Linked DNA regions of Macaca mulatta. The protein of the gene in region 1 purifies or fractionates together with the protein of each later gene. This does not show direct contact. Links are inferred from orthologs where the notes say so. Each region holds a gene or a part of one and is shown in the gene's direction. Other genes may lie near its edges.

Region 1 (3,500 bases):
CCTGGCCAACATAGTGAAACCTTGTCTCTACTAAAAATACAAAAAACTAGCTGGGTGTGGTGGCGGGCGCCTGTAGTCTCAGCTACTTGGAAGACTGAGGCAGGAGAATTACCTCAACTCGGGAGGCAGAGGTTACAGTGAGCCAAGATGGTGCCACTACACTCCAGCCTGGGTGACAGAATGAGACTCCGCCTCAAAAGTAAATAAACAAAATCTGTGAACTTATGGTTTACATTGCAACAAAGAGACCAATATCCGAGTTAAAGCAGACATGCAGAACTCTGTGTTCACTTCTCCTAGGTTCATGTGTATTTATGGAGCATGCAGTAGAAATGTACAACTGAGCAGTTTTCCAAAAGTTTTTTCACTAGGTTAGGCCTTTCGTTTCCTGCATGTTCCTGCAAGAAACTGAAGTGGAAATTACCCTTAAAAAGTCCCAGCAGCTGGGTTGAGTCAGAATCATGTTTTTTTCTGTTGAAATCTATTCCTTCTGGTGGAGAGTATGATTCTAAAATTAACGTTAAGCTAATTTAAAGCAACAGAATAGTTTGGAATGAACATGCCAAGCCTTCTCATTGTTTTATCTTTCAGATTGTTCCCAGATGGGGTAAAGTTATGGCCTAGCTAGTGGTACAGGAGACAACCAGGTCCCCCTTTTCCAGGAGCCCTTTGTCTGCCCGAGGCATTTGCCGGGTATAGTGGCCTAGTTGAGCAGGGTTTAAGTGGGCATTCACCTTCATTCTTATGTGTGGTTTGCATTATTTAAGGAGTAGGGAGAATTTTTTTTCCAAAGCATGAGGTTCCAGTTAGACTAATGTACTGTCAAATTGAGACCTCATGATGTTAGTCACACGGCAGGGTATGACCAGGACTTGCTGAGGAGCCAGGCTGGGTGTTGATCACTAGTGTGGCACATATTGCTGTACTGCTTGATCTGGGGTACAGTACTGCGTCTCTCTTAAAATTAAAAAAAAAATTTTTTTTTTAAGAGATGAAATTTCATTTTGTTGTCCAGGCTTGGATATGATCTTCTGGACTCAAGTGATCCTCTCGCCTCAGCCTTCTGAGTAGCTGGGACTACAAGTGTGTGCCACTGTGCCAGGCTCCCACCCCCTCTTAAACTCACAGGCCAGGGATGTGAAAGTCAGAAGAGAGTGGAGCCGGCTGGCTGGCACTAGATAGATGCTGGGGCCATGCCTTGGTGTGTTTGGGGCAGTTCTAAGTACAAGGTTCTCACCAGAGGAGCAATGGAAGGCCCCACAGACGATGTTTATGGAACAACCCCTCCTAGCCCCTTGCATTTGCAGGCTACTGTATGATTTGAAAAGACTTTAAGGGCTGGGTTCAGTGGCTCACGCCTATAATCCTATCACTTTGGGAGGCCAAGGCGGGTGTATCACTTGAGCGCAGGAGTTCGAGACCAGCCCGAGCAACATGGCGAAACGCCATCTCTACAAAATATAAAACAGATTAGCCGGGCATGGTGGTGCATGCCTGTAGTTCCAGCTGCTCAGGAGGGTGAGGTGGGAGGATCCCTTGAGCCCAGGAGGTGGAGGTTGCAGTGAGCTGAGATTGTACTACTGCACTCCAGCCTGGGTGACAGAGTGAGACCCTGTCTCTGAAACAAAAAGAAGACTTTGGCATCTCCTCAATAATGTTTTAAGGTAGAAAGGGAAACTGGTGTTAGCTGCTTTTTACACATGGGGAAATGGAATCAAAGAGTAGTTTGGTAACTTGCTCTGGGTCAGAGTGAGTCAGTAGTGAACCTGCAACTTGAATGTGTTCATATCTTGTGTCTTTGAGGTCCGTGTATTTTCTTACTGACACAGGTGTTGAAGTATTACTGTTGGGACATTTTAAAAATCAGGGTTCCCTAAATATCATTACAGGGACATTTTTTCATTATCCTGAGGTTTTGAAGGCTTGCTGGGGACATGGGGCATATCTGGGGAACCATCCCAAGTACAGACAGTGGTTGGAGACCTCCCTGCTGATCTTACCACACCCCTGTCATCTGAAGGTGCCTTATACAGCTGTACGAGGCTGGGTCCTTGCTGAGCATGTTTCCTGTGTGGGCCTCACCAGTATAATTGGGGTGGTTTTAGGCAGTACTTGGACAAGGCATTAAACCAACTAATTTGTTTTGTTTTTGTTTTTGTTTCTTAAGACAAAAACAAAAGACAGGGTCTCACTCTGTTTTCCAGGCTGGAGTACATTGACACGGTTCTAGCTCACTGCAGCGTCAGACTCCTGGGCACAAGTGATCCTCCCACCTCAGCCTCCTGAGTAGCTGGGACTAGAGGCACAAGCCACCATGCCCAGCTAATTTATTTTTAAAATTGTTTGTAGAGTTAGGGTCTTTTCTTGTTGCCCAGGCTCAAATCAACTAAATTTTCATGTCTTTCAGTCTTTCTCGTTACTCAGAGGACAAAGTCTAGGTTTGGTGTTCACGTACCTTTTACACCTCTCCAGCACTTGCTACCCCTTTGAACTAAGAGAACTAGTCTCAGCAAACTTCCAGCTAAACTTTGACAGTGTTACTTTGTTTTCATCATATTCACCTAAAATAAATGAGCGATAGCCTAGGTGGTTTTGGAAATGGCAGAACTGGAAAAGGAGGTAAGGAATGACTGGGTTCAGGGAGACCCCGTGGTAGAAGTGGCCTGGTTCGAGCTGAATGAGGCACATGGCACTGATTGCCAATGCCAGGAGGCTGGAGGAGGACATCTGCTGTGCTGAGGGCTGGACTGGTTTGAGCAGTGGGTGGTGGCAAAAAGGACGTTCCAATGGGCAGTGTCCTAGATCTCAGCAGGCACAAGGGATGTGGTGTTTATTCTTGCTGTTTTTTCTCCCTCTAGAAATGGGCCTGAATTTGAAGCTAGGATCCGACAGAATGAGATCAACAACCCCAAGTTCAACTTTCTGAACCCCAATGACCCTTACCATGCCTATTACCGCCACAAGGTCAGCGAGTTCAAGGAGGGGAAGGCTCAGGAGCCGTCAGCTGCCATCCCCAAGGTCATGCAGCAGCAGCAGCAGGCCACCCAGCAGCAGCTGCCCCAGAAGGTTTGGAGCCCAGTGCCCCCTTCACTTACGCAGGGCTTGAGAGGGAAGCAGGGATAGGGAGGGGGTACACAAATAACTCTAAACCTCACAACCACCCAGGGAGAGAAGTAAGGTTGTTATCCCCATCTCTCAGAGGCAGACTGAGACCCAGACAGCAAAGTACTGATGTTAGTTGGCATTTCCCAAGCACTGCTTGTCAGACTCTGCTTATAACTTCAGGAGTCTTGTCTCATTGACCCATCACAGAGGCTGTATGAGGAATCTGAGAGTCGGGGGAAGTGTGAGGGTGTGAGGGCAGTGCCATGTTGGGTGAAGGACTTCCTACTTGGCTGTGCTGAAGGATGCAGTGTGGCCTGTGGGCTCCTCCTTATGCTCTCCCTTCCCTTCTCTCTCTTCTTCCCAGGACCCTTCTATCTGGCCTCCCCTAATACCAC
Region 2 (3,500 bases), on another chromosome or scaffold:
GTGCTGGGATTACAGGCATGAGCCACTGCACCCAGCCAGTCTTTTCCTTTACAGAAAAATTAGCTTGTCCTAATCCCAGGCAGAAATGCTAAAGTAATAGACTTCCTTCAAAGAAGGGGAGTAAAGAACATGAAAATTCTTTAGTATCATGGGATGGTAAGACTGGGGTGCTCTTTAAAGACTCTTGAAGAAATGCCCATTATTTTAAATTTACTTAATTTGTAAGCTGAAAACATCATTGGTATCTTTTATTAGTTCTACGGAGTATTCTTTCTTATATAAGTTCTTCAAAAAATTATAACAATTTTGGGGGACACAACACAAATCAGACTTAACATATTACAGTCTTCAGAATTATTTTATGTGAGTAGGTTTTAAAGAAATTAGTTTGTGAGCAAAAACTACAATGGCATTTGAAATTGTATCTAAATATTTATAAGTTAAAACAATTTATGTTCAGACAGAGGGATAAATTGGAAGAAATCTTGCGGGGATTAACTCCAAGGAAAAATGATATTGGAGATGCAATGGTTTTCTGTCTTAATAATGCTGAAGCTGCTGAAGAAATAGTGGATTGCATTACTGAGTCATTGTCCATCTTAAAGACACCCCTTCCTAAAAAGGTATGGGAATGAATTTTAAGAAAAGGGGAGATAGTTAATGTCTTTTGGGATTAGAAGTGGTTTCCTTTTTGCACAAATAACTTGACTGATGAAATTTTTCCCATGCAGTCTTATGTTACTTCTGCTTGGAAATTTAGGTTCATTAACATACAAGTTGCAAACAAATTGAAATGTAAATGAGTTAACAAATTTCATCCCTGCCAAAGTCATGGTTGTGGTGATAGTTATTTAACTCTTCTAATTAGTAGCCATTATTAAATTATAGCTAAACATTAGCCTTACATTAACCTATTTTGTGTTATCTTTTGGTATTATAGATTGCCAGATTATATTTGGTTTCTGATGTTTTGTACAACTCTTCAGCCAAAGTTGCTAATGCTTCATATTATAGAAAATTGTAAGTATAATGATATAACTGATATTCCTGAAATAAAGTGTTTAAGGGTAAGGAGTTCAGAAAAGAGGATTGTTTTGTTAACGTCCTCCAAGAATAAGAAATACAGCCAGCCCTCCATGTCTGTGGGTTCCTTATCCGTGAATTCAACCAACCACAAATTGAAAATATTTGAGAAGAAAAGTTGTATCTGTACCGAACACGTACAGACGTTTTTCCTTGTCGTTTTCTAAACAATACAGTAATGAAAACTCTGCATAGCGTTTACATTGTATTAGGTATTGTAAGTAACCTAGAGATGATTTAACCCATGGGAAGATGTGGGTAGGTTACAGGTGAATACTATGTTATTTTCAATCAAGAACTTGAGCATCTGTGGATTTTGGTGTCCATGGAAGGTCTTGGAACCAGTCCCCCTATGGATACTGAGGGAAGACTAATTTGAATTTCTTCATGGTTTGTAGAATTTTTTTAAAAAATTGGCTTAAACTTAAGCTAAATTACCAATTTTTTTGGAAAGATTTTATATCGTATCACTTTCTTAGTTATTGACAGTAGAACAAATAGGTGTGTGTTAAAGAGAACTTTATTGCGTATCTAGCTATTCATATAATAAATAGAAACAGTGTATATACTGGCAGACATAAGAAACCAAAGACATACTATTAACTATAGAATCTGCATTCTCTTCTGATCCTTAGCATATTGATTTTAGTTCATTGCTAATGTTTCCTAAGGCAAAAGGAAGTTATGTTGCTGTATTATAATTAATGTATAACTTAGCCGGGCACAGTGGCTCATGCCTGTAATCTCAGCACTTTGGGAGGCTGAGAAGGGCTGATTACCTAAGGTCAGAAGTTCAAGACCACCCTGACCAATGTGGTGAAACCCCATCTCTAGTAAAAATACAAAGATTAGCCAGGTGTGGTGGTATAGCCCTGTAATCCCAGCTACTCAGGAAGCTGAGGCAGGAGAATTGCTTGAACCCGGGAGGCGGAGGTTGCAGTGAGCTGAGATTGCGCCATTGCACTGTAGCCTGGGTGACAAGAGCCAAACTCCGTCTCAAAAAAAAAAAAGTGTAACTTTTTCTCAGTTCCCCAGAGCTCTCTTTCTGTGTTTATTTTTTGAATTAGGCAAAGGGAAGCTTTTCCCTAGGAAGTTGCTCTGAAAAGAAATTTAGAGATCTGAGTCCTACTCTTATGTCTGCTATTAGTTTTTTTGCCTTGGATGCGTCACCCTTTTCTAAGTTTTCTGTTTTATAAAATAAAGAAATTGGATGAGATGGTTCAACATATCCTAGATGTAATGTTTCTTGCTTATAAAGGGAGATAGTAGGGACTGTTGGGGAGTTTGTAGGAGAAAAATTCAGAGTAATAAGAGTTAAAGCAATTCAGTTACGGTTTTAGAGTTTAAACACCTAGTTTTTGATTTTTAATAATTTCTTGATTAATTTGTAGGTATTTTAAGTTCAGGAGGGGTTTTCATTGGCTGGCATGCTGAAGGGGAAAGGAATTTTAAACATTTTATTTTAAAGAATGTATTATTTGAATTTCAGTTTTGAAACAAAGTTATGTCAGATATTTTCAGACCTCAATGCCACCTATCGTACAATTCAAGGCCATTTACAATCTGAAAACTTTAAGGTACGTTTATTGTTTTACTATTTTTGCCCTAGTGTTTTAAATGGGTGGGGGGAGAGGGCCTTGAAGGGCTAGAAAAGTACATAAGACAAGTATGACACATAAAATTAAAACTTAGATGTTACCGAAGTTAGTGTTTTAAAATTCTGTCATTTTTTTAATCAAAATCAAAAATTTAAAAGATACTGTTTTGACAGGTGTTTAATTTTAGTTTTAAGTATTGTTTAAATATTATAAATGTTAGTCTTTTTTCATGAAACAGCCAGAAGAATCACTTGTTTTGTAATGGTATATACTATTTGGCTGGATTAAAGACATACATTTTAATCATATTTAGAAAGTCTGCTCTGTTACCAATTTTTTTATAACCTCTTAAGATGTAGGCCAGTGTTAAGAAAAGCCAGGTGGAGTACTTTATTTATAATTGACTAAGTAAATATGCTTTCATGGGAAGATGACTTTTTTACGAAAAATTTTTAGTTTGGGAAGATGCCCAGTGACCCCACCATTTAGGGCATTCAGACAACTCCCATTTTTAAAGTTTTTGACCTTAAATTTTGACCATAAGTTAGAATTTTAAAAAAAGTTTAGGGAAGATACAGAGTAAAGTGTTAACCAGAATTAGGAAGTACTTTACTGGACCATAAGGGGATTCAGGTCAAAACTTGGCTACTTTGGTTTTAAGTTTTCATAAGTTTCTATGTAAGTCTTTCCTGAATGTGGCTCATGTGTAGTACTAATGGTATGGGAGCTGACCTTAGGTGGTAAAGAGCAAACAACTACTGTTTATTTTTCATTATATTTATTTTTAGGGTTTTTTTTCTTTTAATTAGAAGGTGACAT
Region 3 (4,007 bases), on another chromosome or scaffold:
CTGCTGCAGATAGTCCACAGATCTTTTCTTGTGCATTTCTTCTGGGAACGAATGCAACTGAGGAAGCAGAGATATTCTAGGGGGAGAGATCTACAAAATTCCTTAGAGTCATCTTGCCCCACCTCCTTGTTACGGCTTTAGGTACAGCCCTTATGGCCGTGAGATTTAACCTTCCGCAGCCTTTGTGTCCACGTCTACAAAATAACAACTACCTTGCAGGGTGTTATTTAACACTGTGAAAGTGCATTAATAGGCACAGAAAGAAAAACAAAAAAACAAACATAAAAGCAAATTGTGCCCTCACTGCGAATTCTCTGTATTCTAGCTAAAAACATCTATAGCTTGAGTGCATGGGTGTCTGTGCTGGGCAAGAAAAGGGCAAACTAGATCATGACAAGCCTTAAGATTTTCTCACTTTAGTTTCCTCACTGCAATTTTTTTTTTTTCCCCAAGTCGGAGTCTTGTTCTGTCGCCTAGGCTGGAGTGCACTGGCGTGATCTCATCGCAATCTCTGCCTCCCAGGTTCAAGCGATTCTCCTGCCTCAGCCTACCGAGTAGCTCGGATTACAGGCGTGCGCCACCACGCCCGGCTCATTTTTGTATTTTTAGTAGAGACGGGGTTTCACTATGTTGGCCAGGCTGGTCTCGAACTCCTGACCTCGTGATCCGCCTGCCTCGATCTCCCAAAGTGTTGGGATTACAGGCGTGAACCACCGCGCGCGGTCCCTCACTGCAACTGAGAGTAGCGGGGTGGCCTCAAGTTCCAGATCTGGAGTTACTAAATAGCTGGGTTCCAATCCCGGCTCTGCCACTTATTAGTTGTACGATCTTCGTTTCTCAACCTCTCTGGGTCTGAGATTCCCTTAAAGCCGGGGTAATAGAGATGAATAGGATTTCCTAACTAGGACTAGACTTCCTCAATTTCTCGACTCAGAGGGGCAAGGATAGACTGAAATGGAAAGTGAAGGCCTTCAGGCTTTTCCTAACAGCCGCTCCTAGGAGGGGAAAGCTACGGGAAGAGGGAGGAGACCCAAGAAAGGTCGGACCAATGAGGCAGCGGGCGGGACAGGAGTTCCCGCCTTTGGGCGGCGTGCGCGCGCACCTCGCTCACACGCACACTCGCACGCACGCACGCTGCGGAAGCGCGCGCGCGCGCAGGCCCAGCCCTCGTCGCCGCCGCCATTTTAGCTCCTGGTTCCGGCCGCACCGTGTGGGCTGTAGTAGCGGGAGGGGTGGGGGTCCTCCAGAGTTAAGTGGCTGTCCTCCACTGTGCCCATACAGCGGCTAGCTTTCTTCCTTAATAACCGCCCGTTCGAAGAGTGCGAGGATGTCCAAGCGGCACCGGTTGGACCTAGGGGAGGATTACCCCTCTGGCAAGAAGCGTGCGGGGACCGATGGGTAAGCCAGGCCGGGGGCGCGAGGCAGCAGCTCGGGCTTTGTTGGGGTCCTGGCAGGGAGCGGGCTGGGACTGGCCTGGCCGAGCGGGTCCTGGAGCCCGAGCCTTTGTTTCCTTCTGGGCTGGGTTCACCAGCGGCGGGTCGGAGAAGCGCGGCGCCCGTCCGGCCCGGCAAGGGCGCGGGGAGTTGCGTGCGGCGGGGCCGGTGCCCAACCCAGTCCGGAGGGTGGAGAGGCCTGCAGTGGCCATGAGGGCGCCTCCTCCCCCAGGCCGAACCGAGCAGGAGTCACTTTCGAGGGCGTGGGGCGGGAGTGAACCGCGGACCTCGTGGCCTCGGTTCCCGAGGAAGGCCTGGATCCGGGGGAGAGAGTGGGGGAGGGCGCGGCGGGAGTATTCGCTTCCAAGGGCACCAGGCACTTCCCAGGCAGAGGGGCCATGGGGAGGGCCTGAGTGGGGGCGCGGCCAGGCACTCCAGACGGGAAAGGCGGAGGGCGGAAAGTGAGAGCAGCGCGTGGATCCTAATGTAGGCTGGGGTGGGGGTGGCGGGAGTTGAGAGAAGCCAGCAAATGGGGAGTTCTCTGGGGAAGTGGGAGTAGAGGACTTGCCGGGAGAAAGGAAGGGTGGAGTAAAATACCTGGTGGGCTGGAAGGCTGGTGTTTTGGGGCGACTGAGTTTATAGTTTGGCGGGAGAGAGCGTGTCTCGGTCCATTCAAGCACTTCAAAGTAGATACTAGCAAACTTCCGCCCTCTGCCTACGCTCCCGCCATCTCCTCTATTTCCTGCTTTGGTTAAAACTGGTTACCGAACATCATCCCATGGGGAGGGATTAGAAGGCATTCTTTTTTTTTTTTTTTCATCATTTATTTTCTGTGCATGTCCCACTTTTCTTCATAAGTAGCTTTTGAAATACAGGGATCATGTTCAAAACGTGTTTTTAGTATTTATGGCGAAACACCGCCCATGTGGAGGTTGAGAGTTGAAATACTTACACAAACTCATGGTGTTCCAGATTCCTTTCCTTAAAGATACAGAGGAATTTAACAGTTAACTTAAGCAGTTTTATGAAAATCTGTTTCTTTCCCGTGTGTGTTTTCATTGCTGAAGTACAAAGACCTATTTGGATAATTCAGGCAAAACCCACAAAAGCCCGAATATCCAAATACTTTGCATAATTTTATCATTTTATTGTGTACTTGTGATACGGAATCACTGTGTCAAGTCCCCTTGTCTAGCTTTTTTGAAATTTTCAGCTGAAGTTCTTCATTGAAATTGATTTCTAGGGATATGTTTAGTGTCATTGTAGAGTATAAGCCAGGATAGGATGTACTTTCTGAGACCTTCCCATATGTTGAATTATTCAATACAAAGCAAAAGCATGTCACAGTTTTGTGAGTTGTTTAGTTGGCGATATTAGGCATTGTAAAAAGACAATGACACTGTAAGACAGACTCTCTTTAGGCTATCACTGTCCCCCACCGTTACCCCCCACAAAACGGTAAATGCCTCTGAGCTGTATGTCACAGACTCTCAGAGCTGGGAGCAACTTAAAAAAGACTCTACAGCTCCACTCAAGGAATGAGAAATGGAGAACAGTTAAGGTGGCTTGGGCAAGTTTACAGCAGGATCTGGAACCCTGCCTTTATCATTTTCACTCAGCAGCACACAGTTCAGTACTGTAGTTAAGACTCATTACAGCCTATTTTAATGACATTTATAATGGGTTGGTAAAGTAGGGAACACTTAGTTCTTGATTTCTCTGAAGCAAAAATAAATTGCTGTCATCTGGAACTGATGTCTCTAACAGGAGGTCAGATTGGAACAAAATATTCTGGGAGGGAATGAATGAATTCATTTGTATTTGTGCATATGTGCACCATTTAAAATGCTTCCCTTGGGATTAGTGGTCCCACCATATGTATGTGCAATTGTTTACTATCTCTTGCAAAAACAGATACCCTTAGTAAACATGTCGACTTTCGGGGTCTAATGGTAGCTTTATGATTCCCTTGTATATTATTTAGAATTTGCCTGTGGATAAAGGCGAGTTCATCTTTGGAATAATGCTCAAGTTATAAGAAATTGTAGAGGGAAGTTTTAATACTAATTTCTATGTCATTTGAGTGCCATTTATCATAGAACTGGCTTTATTTAACAGTGGACTTACAGTGTTTATCAGCATCAGGATTTTTTTTCATACTCCATAATTTTAAGTCACTTGTTGACTGCCATGCAATCCTGCAGATTTTTTTTTTTTACCCTGATAGTCAGCAAGTGGTTTTATCTGAGAGCATAAGCTTGTCAGTCTTACAAACTCCACTGCCAGATAGGATGTCTCCAATACTGAGAAGAGAAGGTAATTCAGTGGGAGATTTCACTTACATTAATGTTCCCAACTATATAAGTCTTTATTTTATTCTTGACATATTTTAACTTTGAAATCAGGTGAAGTTATTATAGGTTTCTGTTGCGTATTCTGGCCTCATTTCTTCTTTTTGTCAACCCACAGAGCCTTCACTATACAGTTATTACCAAGAGACAACTTACTGTTGAAGTATGGAAAAAAGTTTTCCATGTTAGGGACGTTTTTCATTTTGATGTTGGTTTTTGATAT
Region 4 (3,500 bases), on another chromosome or scaffold:
CAGATTTGTAAGAGTGTAAATGTAAAACTCTTTCTTACTGGAATGTCCTTTACAGAAGGTTGAGATAGTCATCTGAGCCTTTTTAAAGTAAAAAACTGCAGGTGAAAAAGGAGTTAGTTGATTTGAAAGTTTTATGTGAAATTCTGGGTTGTGTAAATAAAAAGTTGCTAGGAATTGGCAAGGTAGTGAAGTGGTGACTCATGCAGGTAATGTAATTGTTAGATTTTTTAGCAAATCAGATAGGCATATGTCAATATAAACACAATGTTGAATTCAAACAATCTGTTGAATTAAATTCTGCTGATTACAGTAATTCTAATTTAAGAAAAATTCCAAACTGTAGATTTATTTTTCTCTGATCAGTAAAAAAAAAATTGAATTCCAGCTTGACTTTAGCTGTTGAAGTGAGAAGTCTGAGAAGGTGCATGTTAATGAGCCAGTGACCCATAGGTAGCTAGGTTAAAGACACTTTGGATTTGGATAATCCGGGAAGCAGTTAATCCCTAATTGTTGAACAGGCAGTCCTGGGTAAAGAGGACCTAAAATGCTGCACTATTAACAGCATTAGACGGCCAGGTTTGTACTTCATAGATTTAGGCTGTCTTCTTCACAAGTTTTAGAAGAAGAATTTAGGAGCTAGAGCCCTGGTGCAGGATCAACAGCAGCTCATACTCCTGTTTCAAAATAATTTGGTCGTGGCCTCCCTTCAGTTTTAATGTGGCACTGGTAAATCTACCTGGTTCTGGCATGCTTCACTTTGATTTCCTGCTATCCTCTACTGCTTGCCTCTAAATCAAGGTAAAGAGCAGAGCAGGTATGTATTAATGTCACATTGTCTTGATTATTTTAAATACTTAAAATATACATGTTAAACCTTGGTATTAGTTTCAGAGGCAGTTTACTTTTCAGTACATAATTTAAAAGGAGTGACTTGGTGGGAGTGGGGCTTTAAACTGAAAATTGGAACAACAGCATGATGTGGAGAAAAGTTGTGCAGCGTTAAGTACATGCAAAAATTAAATAACCAAGTTTTCTCTACATAGCATATATGTTTACATTGGATGTCAAAAGTAACACAGTATTTGATATAATTACAGATAATTGTGATCTACATTTTAAAATATCAAGAGATCGTCTCAGTGCTTCTTCCCTTACAATGGAAAGTTTTGCTTTTCTTTGGGCTGGAGGAAGAGCATCTTATGGTGTGTCAAAAGGCAAAGTGTGTTTTGAGATGAAGGTAAATGCAATTTTATGATGTTTTTGTTTGATTTTGGAGACAGAGTCTCACTCTGTCCCCTAGGCTGGATTGGTGTGGTGTGACCCAGGCTCAACTGCAACCTCCTCGTCCTGGGTTCAAGTGATTCTTCTTGCCTCAGCCTCACAAGTAGCTGGGACTATAGGCACGTGCCACCACACCTGGCTAATTTTTGTATTTTTAATAGAGAACGGGGCTCCTGACCTCAGGTGATCCACCCACCTCGGCCTCCCAAAGTGCTGGGATTACAGGCTTGAGCCACCGCGCCCAGCCTTTTTTTTTCTTTTCTTTTTTTCTTTTTAAAATAGTGACAGGGTCTCACCATGTTGCCCAGGCTGGTCTTGAACTCGTAAGCTCAAGTGATCTGCCTGCCTGGGCCTCCCAGAATACTGAAATTACAGGTGCTTCATACTGCTAAGTTATCAGAGGTACTTATTTTTTGAAGCTTCCTGTAAATTAAAAGAGGAACTTGGAACCTTCATTTTGTTGTGACAGTTAAGTTATGTTAGAACTTGACATGCAGAGCTAGGCAACTTTTTATTTAGGGTACTTCATTTTTATCAAGCATTTGAAAGGGCCACCAAAGAGTGAAAAATAAAATTTGGTTAGATTACAGGTTTTGTTGGCGAGAAAAACATTAAATGTATCCTTTAATTGGCTTTAAGTTGAAGACTGACAACATGAACTGTAAAAATATTAACTATTCTTTTAAATATGGGTCAAATAAGTATTTAACATTTCAAGTTATAAGCACATCAGTTTAAAGTTCTTACAAATATTAGGGATGGGCTAGAGTGTGCCATCTCTTTGTATTTATAGCTCGAGGAAGATTAGCTCATGACCCTATGAAATAAGCCAGAGTTAAGGGGTTACCTCCTTGGTTTATGATTTTAATTATTTAATGATTCGACTTTCAGGTTACAGAGAAGATCCCAGTAAGGCATTTATATACAAAAGATATTGACATACATGAAGTTCGTATTGGCTGGTCACTAACTACAAGTGGAATGTTACTTGGTAAAGATTCTTTTTGACTGATGTGGGCTCATGAATGTTTAGGAGGGTCTGATATCCTTATTTTTTAACCAGACTAGAAGGCATTCTAAGCCTTTTGTCTGTTTTTATCTATTCTGTTAATACTTCAGACAAGTAATATTAGCACATAGTAGGCACAGGCTACATTTTAGTTTTTGTTCCTTTATTAGAAGTTTATGGTTGAAATAAAATCTTACCCATGATATGCAAATTGTCAACTAATTTGGTCTCTGCATATATATATATCCCTCCTAACTTTCATCAATTCTAGTACAGAGGTAGAAAAGTAATAGTGTCAGTGACAGGTGATTAGGTTATATGCTCATTTCTCTTGTAGCCTACATTTTAAGTAGTGAAATAGATGAGTCTTTGGACTATTTTAAAAATCTACTTCACGAAGGTTAATTACTTTCTTAGGTGAAGAAGAATTTTCTTACGGGTATTCTCTAAAAGGAATAAAAACATGCAACTGTGAGACTGAAGATTATGGAGAAAAGTTTGATGAAAATGATGTGATTACATGTTTTGCTGTAAGTTAAAGCTAACTTTCTATGTATAAATGGCAAATTAGTAGCTATATCTAGGAACTTTTAAGAAGCTTTATTAAGGTCAATCTTCAATAGGAGCAACATAAATACACCAGTCCCTGGGTTAGTATAAATACTCATTCAGCAGTTGAATTGGGAAAATACAGGACATTTTTGAGGAACTCACTAATTTCATTTTGACTGAAAACAATGAAGATGAAATTGACCTAGAAAATTTAGTCTAACTTCTAGGTCACTATTGTTTCTGGTTCTGGAGATACGTGCTTCATTGTTTGTAACCATCAGATTTCTTAACTGTGTAGCCCTTAGAGGCCACTTAATAGTTGTTTAACCTGTAGCTCCCACAGGATAAGCTTTGCTCCTAATTTTAATTATTAGTTTTTTAGAAAGTTTATAGGAAGCAGATAACTTGAATTTTTTGCTGTTTAACAGAACTTTGAAAGTGATGAAGTAGAACTCTCCTATGCTAAGAATGGACAAGATCTTGGCATTGCTTTCAAAATCAGTAAGGAAGTTCTTGCTGGACGGCCACTCTTCCCGCATGTTCTCTGCCACAACTGTGCAGTTGAATTTAATTTTGGTCAGAAGGAAAAGCCATATTTTCCAATACCTGAAGAGTATACTTTTATCCAGAATGTCCCCTTAGAGGATCGAGTTAGAGG
Region 5 (3,500 bases), on another chromosome or scaffold:
CAGATGTTTATTGAACATTTGAAGTGTACTAGTGTGCTATTCAGGTGTTGGGGATATGGTAGTGAACAAAAGAGGAAAAAAAATCCTGTTTTCATAGAGTGAAGAGGGAAGATGTCTAGAAGGAATGACTTTCTATGTTAATGAAATTCTTTCCAACCTTGTTTTGGCCATAGGAATAAAGATGATATATAGCATACCAGAGATTCATTCCAACTAGCATTCCAACTCTGACAGTGACACCAAGAATGTTTTCCTGGGACTGCCTGGTGCTTGTTCTCCCTGGCATTGTCTTCAGGTCAGGGATTTTTCTTTTTTCTTTCTTTCTTTTTTTTAAAATTAAAAATAGAGACGGGGTTTCGCCGTGTTGCCCAGGCTTGTCTCAAACTCCTGAGCTCAAGCAATCCACCCACCTCAGCCTCCCACAATGCTGGGATTACAGGTGACAGCTACTGCACCTGGCCAAGTCAGGGATTTTTCCTAACACTATTAGAATTAGGTGGTGGAGTTATTTGTTCCTTCCCATCAACAGTTTTAAATGCTGCTCATAGTTTATGTCTTACTGTGATTGTATTTTTCCTTTTTTTGCTCTTTAAATTTTTTTTCTTTTTTTTTCCCCCACAGAGAAATCTCTTTTTTTTTTTTTTTTTTTTTGAGATGGAGTCTCGTGGTGTCGCCCAGGCTGCTGGAGTCCAGTGGTGTGATCTTGGCTCCTTGTAACCCCTATCCCTGGGGTTCAAGCGATTCTCCTGCCTCAGCCTCCTGAGTATCTGGGACTACAGGCCATGCCACCACGCCCGGCTAATATTTTGTAGTTTTAGTAGAGATGGGGTTTCACCATGTTGGCCAGGATGGACTCCATCTCCTGACCTCGTGATCTGCCCACCCTGGCCTCCCAAAGTGCTGGGATTACAGACATGTGCCACTGTGCCCAGCCTATTTTTTTTTTTTTTCCTTAAAATTAAAAGCTATAAATGAAGTATAACCACACACAAGCACATCTTCTGTCATTAAAGTGGAAGTTCTTTAAAGGCTGTGACTTATTTATCTTTGAATCCTCTTGATGCATGCTGTGGGGTCAAACTGTTGGGGTTAAAATTCTGGCTTACAAGTTGGATAATTGGGAACAAGTCAGTTATCTTCTCTAAGCCTCAGTATTCTTATCTGTGAAATAGGTACAATAGCAGTATCTACCACATAGGGTTGTTGAGATTAATAAATACATGTAAGGTTTTTATATTAAAATTCAACAAATGGTAGTTGTAATTTCTCAAAGCGTTTATCAAAATGTCTTGCACATGGTAAACACACAAATGTTTGTTGAACATATCAGTGAACGTTGTGTTAAGATAAACAATTCAGTTTGTTATTGAATTCTATTAATGAAGTTTTTAATCCTCATAATTTTAGGTGAAACAAATAGAGAAAAGAGACTCGGTTCTAACATCGAAAAATCAGATTGAAAGACTGACCCGTCCTGGTTCCTCTTACTTCAATTTGAACCCATTTGAGGTAAGCTGATTGGTGTTGCTAGGACCTCTGTAATGGAGGGTGTTTGCATAGCTGCAGGCATACCTACATCGGAATACATACCTAATTTATATCATCGTTAGGATTGTGAAAAATGGTGGAGTAAAGTGATGGAATTTGTATAGTACAAATTGAGTATTCCTTATCCAAAATGCTTAGGACCAGAAGTTTTTTGGATTTTGGATTTTTTTTGGGATTTTGGAATATATACATCCATTCTACTCACTTGCTGGTTGAAGCATCCCGAATTAGAAAATTCAGGATGTTAATGAGCATTTTCTTTGAGCATCAATTGACTCTCAAAAAATTTCAGATTTTGGAGCATTTTGGATTTTGCATTTTGCCTTTAGAGGTACGTAACTGTATATAGATTGTCTTTAAACTTGGTTGGTTTTACTGAGCAGAACTGGAGAGGCAGCATGTTAAGAAAAGTGAGATGGGCACATACCTTTCATCATCTTTTAGCAACCCAAATATATAAGGATTTAATTTCAGATGTGAAGGGGCGGCTAACTCTGATAAATTTAGGATTCTTTTTTTTTCTCTTTTTTTTTGAGACGGAGTCGTGCTCTGTCCCCCACGCTGGAGTGCAGTGGCGCGATCTTGACTCACTGCAACCTCCTCCTCCCGGGTTCAAGCAATTCTCCTGCCTCAGCCTCCCAAGTAGGTGGGATTACAGGTGCCTCCCACTGCGCCTGGCTAATATTTGTATTTTTAGTAGAGATGGGGTTTCACCATGTTGGCCAGGCTGGTCTCGAACTCCTGACCTTGTGATCCGCCTGCCTCAGCCTCCCAAAGTGCTGGGATTACAGGCATGAGACACCGCTCCTAGCCTAGGATTCTTGATTTAAACTACTTGTTAAAACTTTTCTGTTTCACTATAGTAAATACCAAAAACCCAACAACAACAAAACAAAGATCACAGGATTTTAGATAAGTGAATATACTTTTTGATTTTCTTAATTTTATAACTTTAAACTTTTCCTGGTTATAAAAGTAAATCATATTTCTTGTAAATGTACAGAAAGCAAGAATAATCATGTATAATCCCACCTAAGAGAGATAGCCACTCATGTTTACACTCAAACTGTTTTGCTTAAAAACAGGGAGCATCATACACTTAGTCCTTTTTTTTTTTTTTTTTTTTAAAGAGATGGAGCCTCATTATGTTGCCCAGGCTGGATTAGAACTCGTGGGCTTAAGTGATCTTGACCTGCTTAGCCTTTGGAGTAGATGGGACTACAGGCTTATGGCACCACGCCTGGCTCAGCTCAATACGGTTTTATTTTGTTTTGTTGTATTTTTTTGAGACAGGGTCTCATTGTCACCCAGGCTGGAGTGCAGTGGTGCAATCATGGCTCACTGCACCCTTGAACTCCTGGGCTCACATGATTTGCCCACCTTGGGCTCCCAAAGTGCTGGGATTACAGCCATTCGCCACCATGTGCAGCCTCAGGGCTGTTTTAAATGCTTTTTTTTTTGAGATGAAGCCTCACTCTGTCACCTAGGCTAGAGTATAATGATACGATCTTGGCTTACTGCAACTCCACCTCCCAGATTCAAGTGATTCTCCTGCCTCAGCCTCCCGAGTAGCTGGGATGACAGGTGCCTGCCATCATGCCCGACTAATTTTTATATTTTTAGTAGAGACGGGGTTTCGCCATATTGTCCAGGTTGGTCTCGAACTCCTGAGCTCAGGTGATTCACCTGTCGCGGCCTCCCAAAGTGCTAGGATTATAGATGTGAGCCGCTGCCTGGCCAAAAAAAAAAAGAAAAATTAATTTTTCTTTTTATTTTTTGCAATTCTTGACAAAATATTAACATCTTTAATCATAAATGAACTCTTCAGAAATCAGTACAAAGAGACTAACATTACACGGGAAGTGAAAATAAAAGGAACAGAGGAAAATGGAATAGCACAAATGAGTTATAAGGCTATATGAAGATGACATATAGTTAATACTAATAGTTGA
Region 6 (4,125 bases), on another chromosome or scaffold:
AGGACCGATTGGGATTGTGCGCACTGGGCTTTTTTTTTTTTTTTTTTTTTTTTTTTGAGACGGAGTCTCGCTCTGCTGCCCAGGCTGGAGTGCAGTGGCGTGATCTCGGCTCACTGCAAGCTCCGCCTCCCGGGTTCACACCATTCTCCTGCCTCAGCCTCCTGAGTACCTGGGACTACAGGCGCGCGCCACCACACCCAGCTAATTTTTGTATTTTTAGTAGAGACGGGGTTTTACCATATTGGCCAGGATGGTCTCGATCTCTTGACCTTGTGATTCGCCTGCCTCGGCCTCCCAAAGTGCTAGGATTACAGGCGTGAGCCACCGCGCCCGGCCTGCACTGGGGTTTTAAGTCCCAGTAGTTTTTTTTAGGGCTCCTCTCCTCAAGAAAAAAACTCATACACACAGATGTGCCACATTTTGCATTCAATTTCAGGGGTTCCAAGGATACACTGACGCTCATGTGGCGCTCCTTCAGTCTTAACAGTTCACGGGGCGCGGGTTTAAAAAATCCAATCCAGGGCTGGGCGCAGGGGCGCATGCCTGTAATCTCAGCATTTCGGGAGGCCAAGGCGGGTGGATAGCCTGGCTTCAGGAGTTCGAGACACCCCCCGCCCATCTACAAAAAAATACAAAAATTAAAGGGGCGTGGTAGCGTTCATTCGTAGTAGTCCCAGCTAGTGGGAAGGCTGAGGGGGTAGGATCACTTGAGCGCGGGAGGTCGAGGCTGCAGTGCGCCGTGATCGCGCCACTGCACTCCAGCCTGAGCAACAGAGTGAGATCCTATCTCAAGGGAAAAAAACAAAACAAAAAAACCAGGGAACGTGGGAAGGAAGCGTTCCCTAACGATACTAGTTATAGCGGGTCGGAAACTGGGCTATGGAATTTGAGATAACGGGAAAACAACACCCGTTGAAGCCACGACCCTAGGAGTCCACTAAGCGAGCGCCCATTGTAGGAGGGAGGTGTCTACGGAAAGGCCGTGAGGTAGTGAACACCCCGTTGTCGGTGAAGTGCAAGCGCAGGGATGCCGGGGAGGAACTTCCAGCCACGAAGACACTGGCTTAATGCCCTCTAAGTCCTTCCAGTTCTGGGATCCCATCTCCGGGTTAATTCCGCTTCCCTTGAGTAGCGAATGCACAACGGGACCACTGGCTCAAAGAACCCACCCGACCCGCGACGGCGCGAATGTGCAGTGGAGCAGTGATCCCGGTCTTCCCATGAGCCTCTGGGGCCGGCTCCAGGGCGAGCGACGGAAGCAGCCGCTCTTAGTTTCCGGCAACACGACAGCGGCTGCCGAGCGACCCGGAAGTATTCCCATTTTGCGTTGTCTGGGCTCGGCGGTAGCCGGGCTTGGAGTGGACGTGCCACTATGGGGTCGTCCAAGAAGCACCGCGGAGAGAAGGAGGCGACCGGGACGACGGCGGCGGCCGGCACCGGGGGCGCCACCGAGCAGCCGCCGCGGCACCGGGAACACAAAAAACACAAGCACCGGAGTGGCGGCAGTGGCGGTAGCGGTGGCGAACGACGGAAGCGGAGCCGGGAACGTGGGGGCGAGCGCGGGAGCGGGCGGCGCGGGGCCGAAGCTGAGGCCCGGAGCAGCACGCACGGGCGGGAGCGCAGCCAGGCAGAGCCCTCGGAGCGGCGTGTGAAGCGGGAGAAACGCGATGACGGCTATGAGGCCGGTGAGGAGGCGGGGCCTGCGCAGGGGGCGGGTCGGGCAGGGGTCCCAGAACGTGCGGGTCTGGGTGTGCGCACAGTGTCAGCAAAGCTCTCCGGATCGGGAAACCCCCAGACTGTCTATATCAACTCTTATTAAATAGTCTTTCTACGGGATCCCATGAGCCCAGGAGTTAGAGGCTGCAGTGTGCTGCGATCCCGCCAGTGCACTGCAGCCTGGGCAACAAAGCGAGACTCTGTCTCAAAAAAGCTTTTCTACGATTGTTTGGGATTAGAGGTAGACTGTCTCCACCTGGCTCCTTGAGGATAGAGAGCTTCCGTTTTTCTCAGTTGTCTGGTACAGTCACAGATTCTCAATAAATGTGTTGAATGAATGAATGAAGTAGTGTCAGCATATGCAGAGACAAGAAAAACCTGGTATTTGACGAATCGTATTGGACGAATCGTGTAGGGCTCCTGGTAGAGAAATGAAGGAGTAAGATAGGCAGGGATGTGAACGCAAAGGATCCTGTACTGTAGGCTCTGTTAAGAAATGTAGATTGTCTTGACAAGGTAGTAGGGAGCCTTGGCTGTGAGTTGAGGAGTGAGTTGCTCAGATCCGTATTTTGTAAACATTACTGGATTGAGAACTTAGTCAAAGGTAGTCAGGATTGGAGACCAGGAAATCAGGAGGGCTACAGACCAGGTGAGGGCTGATGGTGGCCTGCACCAAGGCAGCAGCAGTGGAGTGGAGAGAAGTGGACAGGTTGGAGAGGTGTTTTAGAGGAGGAATGAACAGAACTCAGTACTTGTATGAGGGTGGGAAGGAGAAGGAATTGAGGATGACTCCTTGAATTTTGGCTTGAGCAGCCAGATAGGTAGTGGGTGTCATTTCTACTGAAATTGAGGAGTAGGGAAGAGAAGGAGATTTGGAGCAGGGTGGGGGAAGATAATTCACTTTTGGGGTTGTCAAGGTTTATGTGCATAGGGAAATCCAGAGTTTGGACTGGATAAAGCCATTGGGAGTCAGTATCTGGGTGGCCAGTGAAGCCCGCGAAAGAATGCGACATGAGAAGCCGGGGTCAGGAATAGAACCTGAGAAATGCCCTTATGTTAGTAGTAGGCAGAGAAAGATGTTACCAAAAAAAGGAGATAGAGTAACCAAAGAGGCAGGAAAACCTTTGTGTCATGGGAACTTTGGAAATAGAGTATTGTTAGAAGGAGGGAGTGATCAGCAGTCCCATATACCACAGGAGATCAAGGAAAACCAGAACTGAAAAGAACCCGTTAGATTAGAAATGAAGGAGACTGGTGACTTTGGGGAGCCTGGAGAGATTGGGATCCAGGGCCCAGGTGGAGAGTGGAGCCTTTAAGATACAGGATGGGAATGCAGGAAAGGAAGAGGTGTTTTTTTTTTTTTTTTGAGACAAAGTCTTGCTCCATCTCTTTAAGAGACCTTGTCTCTTAAAAAAAAAAAATGAAAGAAAAAAGGAGAGGGCAGAATGGTGACTGTAGCAGTTTGGATCTCTTGGGTCAGGATAGGAAGGTGCGCAGAAGAGGCAGGGCTCTGAGACTGGACTCGGGCAGAGGAGCTGCTGGGGAGCTTGGGTGGAAGAAGCTGCTGTTTTCTGGTGTTTCATCAGGCCCAGGTGCTGGTGAGGGGCCCTCATCTTTGATCCTGCAGTTGGAGGCACTGATGCTGGCTTGTTGGCCCTATGTTCAGCTCCTGAGCCATGCTTCTTCTTCTTCCAGCTGCCAGCTCCAAAACTAGCTCAGGCGATGCCTCCTCACTCAGCATTGAGGAGACCAAGTGAGTACTGTCTCCCTTGTTTCCACTTTGTTTTTCTAAGATAGGTGGCTCTGGGGCCAGCCCTGGGGAGGCTTTCTCACATGAAAGTGTGCTAATTGGAGTTGGAAAGGTTGTATAGATCATTTTAGCCAACAGTAGAGTTATAGAAGAGGAAACTAATACCTAAGAGTAAAGTGGCATTCACCGGTTAGATGCAGACCAGGCTGGCGCCCATGTTTCCTGCTTTGGAGGCCAGGGCCCTTCCCAGTGTCCTAGGCTTCCTGGGGCAGACCGTGTGTTTGGGACCGCTCACTCCCACCCTGTTTCTTCTCCTGTCTGTTTGGAAATGCACATGGCACCCTGTGTCTTTGATAGCCCGTAACACTTGTATCCTTTGATAGCCCCTAACACTTGTATCTCTTGTTCTCAGTAAACTCCGGGCAAAGTTGGGGCTGAAACCCTTGGAGGTCAATGCCATCAAGAAGGGTGAGCATGGGGCTGAGGATGGGGTTTGGGGGAGAGGGCCATCTGAAGGGGTCTTTGAAGAAGGTGGGATTAGAGGGCAGGTTCAGCACGGTTTAGTGGTCTTACACATGCATATTTGCCGGAAGGCACGAGGTCCCTTCTTGCTGTTCTAATGTGGACCTGGGGCTCTGCTTGTTTTCTGAGTTAGAGCC
Region 7 (4,132 bases), on another chromosome or scaffold:
ACAGGCGATCGTCTGGTCTCTGGGGCCTAGTTGGTTCCCCATTTCCGTAGCTTGCATCCCTTTCGAGAGCAAAGAGCTCTTGGGGGAAGGAAGGGAAGCTAAGGGGGGGCCCAATCCAAGATGGTGTCCTCGGCGCCATTGTGTTCGTTTTGCTCCCTTCTTCCAGTAGGTTCTTTTCATATTGGAGGCCTCAGCATCAATGAGAGGCGGCGCTAGGCGTCCCTTGGTCTTGGTATTTGCGGAGGGCGGGGCTCTTATCACCTTACTTGTCCTTTCTTGAGCCCTTTCTTGGCCCACGGTGGGACTGGGAGGAGGAGCCGGTTTTTGGGCCCAGTTGGATTTTTCTCACCTTGACTCGCCCAAGTTAATTTGGAGTGCCTTACAAGTGTTTACTATTGGTGTCATTGTATGTTTCTCCAAAAGGAGTCTCACCTTCGTAGCGCAACAGTGATGTCAGACCACTTGGTAAAGATCCTGTTAAAGCCTGGGCGGGGATTGCCTTTCTCTGTCAACTATTAACTTTGTTATTGTAGGGTGGAGACATGGATTTTTTTTGTTTTTGGTGGCCGAGCCATTTGTCTTGCACCGCCCCTCCCCCCCATGCTAATTACACAAGGCTTTCTTAAACAACGGAAGAGAGGATACTGAGAAGTGGGAGGCTGAGAGCTATGGGAGGTGGACGGCGGCCATATGATGTTTTCTTTTCGAAAGATGAGCGCTTTGCGCAGTGATGACCCTCATCTATCACCCTTGACTGATGGCTGCTGAGTTAGGCATCCATAACGGTGGGATTATAATAGGGAAAGCACAGTCTTCCTTTGAGGACTTTCCAGGACTCTGCTTGTCATCTCCATTTTCCACTTTACTAAGTTATTAATCATATTTTATCTTTTATTATCTATTATATTTCCTCACTTATTTTCAGATTAAGAATTTATAAGTTGGTCTTCCCCTTCCAACTTTTCTGGTTTCCGCTACTGTGATTGCTAATCTTGTTGGGAACCTGTGTCCTAACCACTTTCGCTGGTGCTGCTTTTTCTGTTCTGTTGTATTTGCTTTTCGTTTTTATGTTGTGTATCTGTTTTTTTTTCCATGTAAAAGTTTCCTAGTTTAGGGAAAGTGGGAACTGGGAATGGAAAAGAGGTGGTGAAGGCTCTGCTCGTGACTAAGTCTTGCTTTTTTTTTTTTCCCCCTCCCCAGCTCTTCTGTTAGAAATAGTATCTTTATTTTCCTTTGCTGTTCCTCAATCCCCTACTCTTCACCCCTTGTTTTCACCTGTTTTGCGAGAACCCATCCAGATTCCCCTTCCCGTCTTCCCCTGCCGGCCCAGTTATGGCAGAGAACGATGTGGACAATGAGCTCTTGGACTATGAAGATGATGAGGTGGAGACAGCAGCTGGGGGAGATGGGGCTGAGGCCCCTGCCAAGAAGGATGTCAAGGGCTCCTATGTCTCCATCCACAGCTCTGGCTTTCGTGACTTCCTGCTCAAGCCAGAGTTGCTCCGGGCCATTGTCGACTGTGGCTTTGAGCATCCGTCAGAAGGTAAATTTTCTCTTGGGCATGTAGTGCTCATTGGGCTCTTTAAGGGTACAATAAAAAGATGTGTTTGTTGTTGCTCAGGTGGTAAAAGTTTATACTTAAGGCTAGATCAGGGTCAGGTGCAGGGGCTCACGCCTGTAATCCCAGCGCTTTGGGAGGGCAAGGCAGGAGGGGTGGTCACTTGAGCTCGAGTGCAAGAGAAGCCTGGGCAAGATAGGGAGACTCCTGTCTCTACTAAACGAAGCAGGTGAAGGTTGAGGCTTCAGTGAGCCGTGATTGCACTACTGTACACCAGCCGGGGAGACAGTGAGGAAAAAAAAAATCAGGAGATAAGTATCGAAAACGATTTTGGATAGAGGAGGATTATACAGACTTGTTCTTTCTTTCATGATAGCACCAAAGTGCTAATTATCCAAAAGTAGCTTCTAGGTCTGCCATTCATTCTTGTGACTGACTTCTTTTGTCTGCTTATTTTTAATTTTGTCATTTGACTTGTAATTTTAAATTTCCAGAAAGGTCCTGATTGGACCTGTAGTCTCCCTCTGTTGGGCCAGGCCAACTGTGGCCTCTGGAAACCTCTATGACTGGTTTAGAGATGACTGGCTTCTGGGTCAGGTACCAAGTCCTTCATTTTGTCCCGGGTTGTTGTTATGTGACCCGAAGTATGGCAACCTAAGTAGGAGAAATGTCTTTAGCAGGTATTCAGATGTCATGAATTGTTACAGATTAAGAAAAATAAGGACAGAGCCAGGAGCATTGAAGGTGAGCGGTTGGTAGATGCAAGGGGGCTGTTAGTAGGACTGGGAAGGCCTAGATCTGGAGGAGGCCAAAGCTGGGATGAATTAGGAGAGTCTGATTTTGAGGTGAATATAATTGAGCAGAGAGAGGAAAAAGGGGTCTGGAAGTTGGCAAGAACCAGGTAAATACTAGATTTTGAGAATTGAGTGGTAAGAAATGGGCTTGGCATGATGAAAAAGGTTGTAGAGTTATCTGGAGACTGAAGTCTAATTTATCTTTCCTCCCTACTTTTAGTCCAGCATGAGTGCATCCCTCAGGCCATTCTGGGAATGGATGTCCTGTGCCAGGCCAAGTCGGGCATGGGAAAGACAGCAGTGTTTGTGTTGGCCACACTGCAACAGCTGGAGCCAGTTACTGGGCAGGTATATTTGGGGAGAGTGCTGGGGAAGGGGTTTTGGTTAGGACTATAAGGGAAGGGTGTTTTTGTCCTAGCTACATGATGACCTCGGTTACCCTTGACAACCTGACAGCTGTGGGGAATGTTCTATCCAAGCATGGGGTTCGTGATTTAGATCACAGAATTGAAGTCATTTATTATCGGCCCAGGTGTGTTTTTGTCAGTCACTTCCCTAGAGGGAACGATGAAGGGCTACACTCATGGTATGTCTCGGTCTACTTCCTGCCTAAGGTGTCTGTGCTGGTGATGTGTCACACTCGGGAGTTGGCTTTTCAGATCAGCAAGGAATATGAGCGCTTCTCTAAATACATGCCCAATGTCAAGGTAAGCCGAGGTAAAGAGACCTCAGAGTGAGGGTGTGGCAAGTTGGAGGGATAAGAAACTTGTAGGCCAGTAGTCTCTTTAATTTTGGAGAAGTTTTAGTTTGCCATGGTTTAACAGTGTTAAGATCCTATGTAACGGGAGGATTCGTAATTGGGCTATGGATGATGCTTAACCGAGACCACCCTTTTTTTACTACTTTATACTGACTTTGAATCCTATCAGTTTGGTAATTTTGGGGTGTGTGGCAGAGAAAGCCAGAAACTTTAAAACAGCTTCAGGGGTGTGTGAATATTGAGGATTCTGGCCAAGTGCGCAGCGGCTTACACCTGTAATCTCAGCACTTTGGGAGGCCAAGGCATGTGGATCATTTGAGGTCAGGAGTTCGAGACCAGTGTGGCCAATGCGATGAAACCCTGTCTCTACTAAAAATGCAAAAATTAGCCGGGCGTGGTGGCACACACCTGTAGTCCTACCTACTTGGGAGGCTGAGGCAGGAGAATCGCTTGAACCCAGGAAGCAGAGGTTATAGTGAGCTGAGATTGTGCCACTACACTCCAGCCTGGGTGACAGAGTGAGACTCCCATCTCAAAAAAAAAAAATCTGATTGAAGTTAAGCATTTTTGGCAATTATCCTTCATAGGTGATGCTGTATCTCCTGTTATGCCAGAAATCGGGTTGACTTATGTTAGTTATTTTTATTTTTATTTATTTGTTTTGAGATGGAGTCTTGCTGCGTCCCCTGGGCTGTGAGTGTAGTGGTGCGATCTCAGCTCACTGCAGCCTGCACCTCCCAGGTTCAAGCGATTCTCCTGCTTCAACCTGCTGAGTGGCTGGGACTACAGTGTGCCATCATACCCGGCTAATTTTTTTTTTTTTTTTTTGGTAGTGACAGGGTTTCGCCATGTTGGCCAGGCTGGTCTCGAACTCCTGACCTCAAGTGATCCACCCACCTCGGCCTCCCAAAGTGCTGGGATTACAGGTGTGAGCCACTGTGCCTGGCCTCATTAGTGACTTTAGGTTTACCATAGGATTAGCATCGTGACAGTCTGATTCCATGGTCATTCTTTTCCCCC

The links.
Region 2: the proteins of SF3A1 (region 1) and U2SURP purify together in Homo sapiens (affinity purification with mass spectrometry; 4 studies listed by BioGRID and IntAct, with this or other methods). This does not show direct contact. The link is inferred for Macaca mulatta from reciprocal best matches to the Homo sapiens genes SF3A1 and U2SURP.
Region 3: the proteins of SF3A1 (region 1) and DHX15 purify together in Homo sapiens (co-immunoprecipitation; 5 studies listed by BioGRID and IntAct, with this or other methods). This does not show direct contact. The link is inferred for Macaca mulatta from reciprocal best matches to the Homo sapiens genes SF3A1 and DHX15.
Region 4: the proteins of SF3A1 (region 1) and HNRNPU purify together in Homo sapiens (affinity purification with mass spectrometry; 3 studies listed by BioGRID and IntAct, with this or other methods). This does not show direct contact. The link is inferred for Macaca mulatta from reciprocal best matches to the Homo sapiens genes SF3A1 and HNRNPU.
Region 5: the proteins of SF3A1 (region 1) and DNAJC8 purify together in Homo sapiens (affinity purification with mass spectrometry; 4 studies listed by BioGRID and IntAct, with this or other methods). This does not show direct contact. The link is inferred for Macaca mulatta from reciprocal best matches to the Homo sapiens genes SF3A1 and DNAJC8.
Region 6: the proteins of SF3A1 (region 1) and SART1 fractionate together in Homo sapiens (co-fractionation; 3 studies listed by BioGRID and IntAct, with this or other methods). This does not show direct contact. The link is inferred for Macaca mulatta from reciprocal best matches to the Homo sapiens genes SF3A1 and SART1.
Region 7: the proteins of SF3A1 (region 1) and DDX39B purify together in Homo sapiens (affinity purification with mass spectrometry; 3 studies listed by BioGRID and IntAct, with this or other methods). This does not show direct contact. The link is inferred for Macaca mulatta from reciprocal best matches to the Homo sapiens genes SF3A1 and DDX39B.

The regions. Positions count from the first base shown.
Region 1 is NC_133415.1:21,195,996-21,199,495, forward strand, and holds part of SF3A1 (splicing factor 3A subunit 1), read left to right. Parts: intron 1-2,858; coding exon 2,859-3,066; intron 3,067-3,500. UniProt on the Homo sapiens protein: Component of the 17S U2 SnRNP complex of the spliceosome, a large ribonucleoprotein complex that removes introns from transcribed pre-mRNAs.
Region 2 is NC_133407.1:46,009,389-46,012,888, forward strand, and holds part of U2SURP (U2 snRNP-associated SURP motif-containing protein), read left to right. Parts: intron 1-460; coding exon 461-623; intron 624-940; coding exon 941-1,020; intron 1,021-2,572; coding exon 2,573-2,660; intron 2,661-3,500.
Region 3 is NC_133410.1:23,602,818-23,606,824, reverse strand, and holds the start of DHX15 (ATP-dependent RNA helicase DHX15), read left to right. Parts: upstream 1-1,207; 5' UTR 1,208-1,327; coding exon 1,328-1,398; intron 1,399-4,007.
Region 4 is NC_133406.1:4,250,634-4,254,133, forward strand, and holds part of HNRNPU (heterogeneous nuclear ribonucleoprotein U), read left to right. Parts: intron 1-1,097; coding exon 1,098-1,237; intron 1,238-2,172; coding exon 2,173-2,272; intron 2,273-2,707; coding exon 2,708-2,820; intron 2,821-3,270; coding exon 3,271-3,500. UniProt on the Homo sapiens protein: DNA- and RNA-binding protein involved in several cellular processes such as nuclear chromatin organization, telomere-length regulation, transcription, mRNA alternative splicing and stability, Xist-mediated transcriptional silencing and mitotic cell progression.
Region 5 is NC_133406.1:212,713,617-212,717,116, forward strand, and holds part of DNAJC8 (dnaJ homolog subfamily C member 8), read left to right. Parts: intron 1-1,407; coding exon 1,408-1,509; intron 1,510-3,500. UniProt on the Homo sapiens protein: Suppresses polyglutamine (polyQ) aggregation of ATXN3 in neuronal cells.
Region 6 is NC_133419.1:8,455,685-8,459,809, reverse strand, and holds the start of SART1 (U4/U6.U5 tri-snRNP-associated protein 1), read left to right. Parts: upstream 1-1,325; 5' UTR 1,326-1,372; coding exon 1,373-1,685; intron 1,686-3,411; coding exon 3,412-3,469; intron 3,470-3,878; coding exon 3,879-3,934; intron 3,935-4,125. UniProt on the Homo sapiens protein: Plays a role in mRNA splicing as a component of the U4/U6-U5 tri-snRNP, one of the building blocks of the spliceosome. May also bind to DNA.
Region 7 is NC_133409.1:150,789,234-150,793,365, forward strand, and holds the start of DDX39B (spliceosome RNA helicase DDX39B), read left to right. Parts: upstream 1-1,332; coding exon 1,333-1,543; intron 1,544-2,572; coding exon 2,573-2,700; intron 2,701-2,966; coding exon 2,967-3,059; intron 3,060-4,132. UniProt on the Homo sapiens protein: Involved in nuclear export of spliced and unspliced mRNA. Component of the TREX complex which is thought to couple mRNA transcription, processing and nuclear export, and specifically associates with spliced mRNA and not with unspliced pre-mRNA.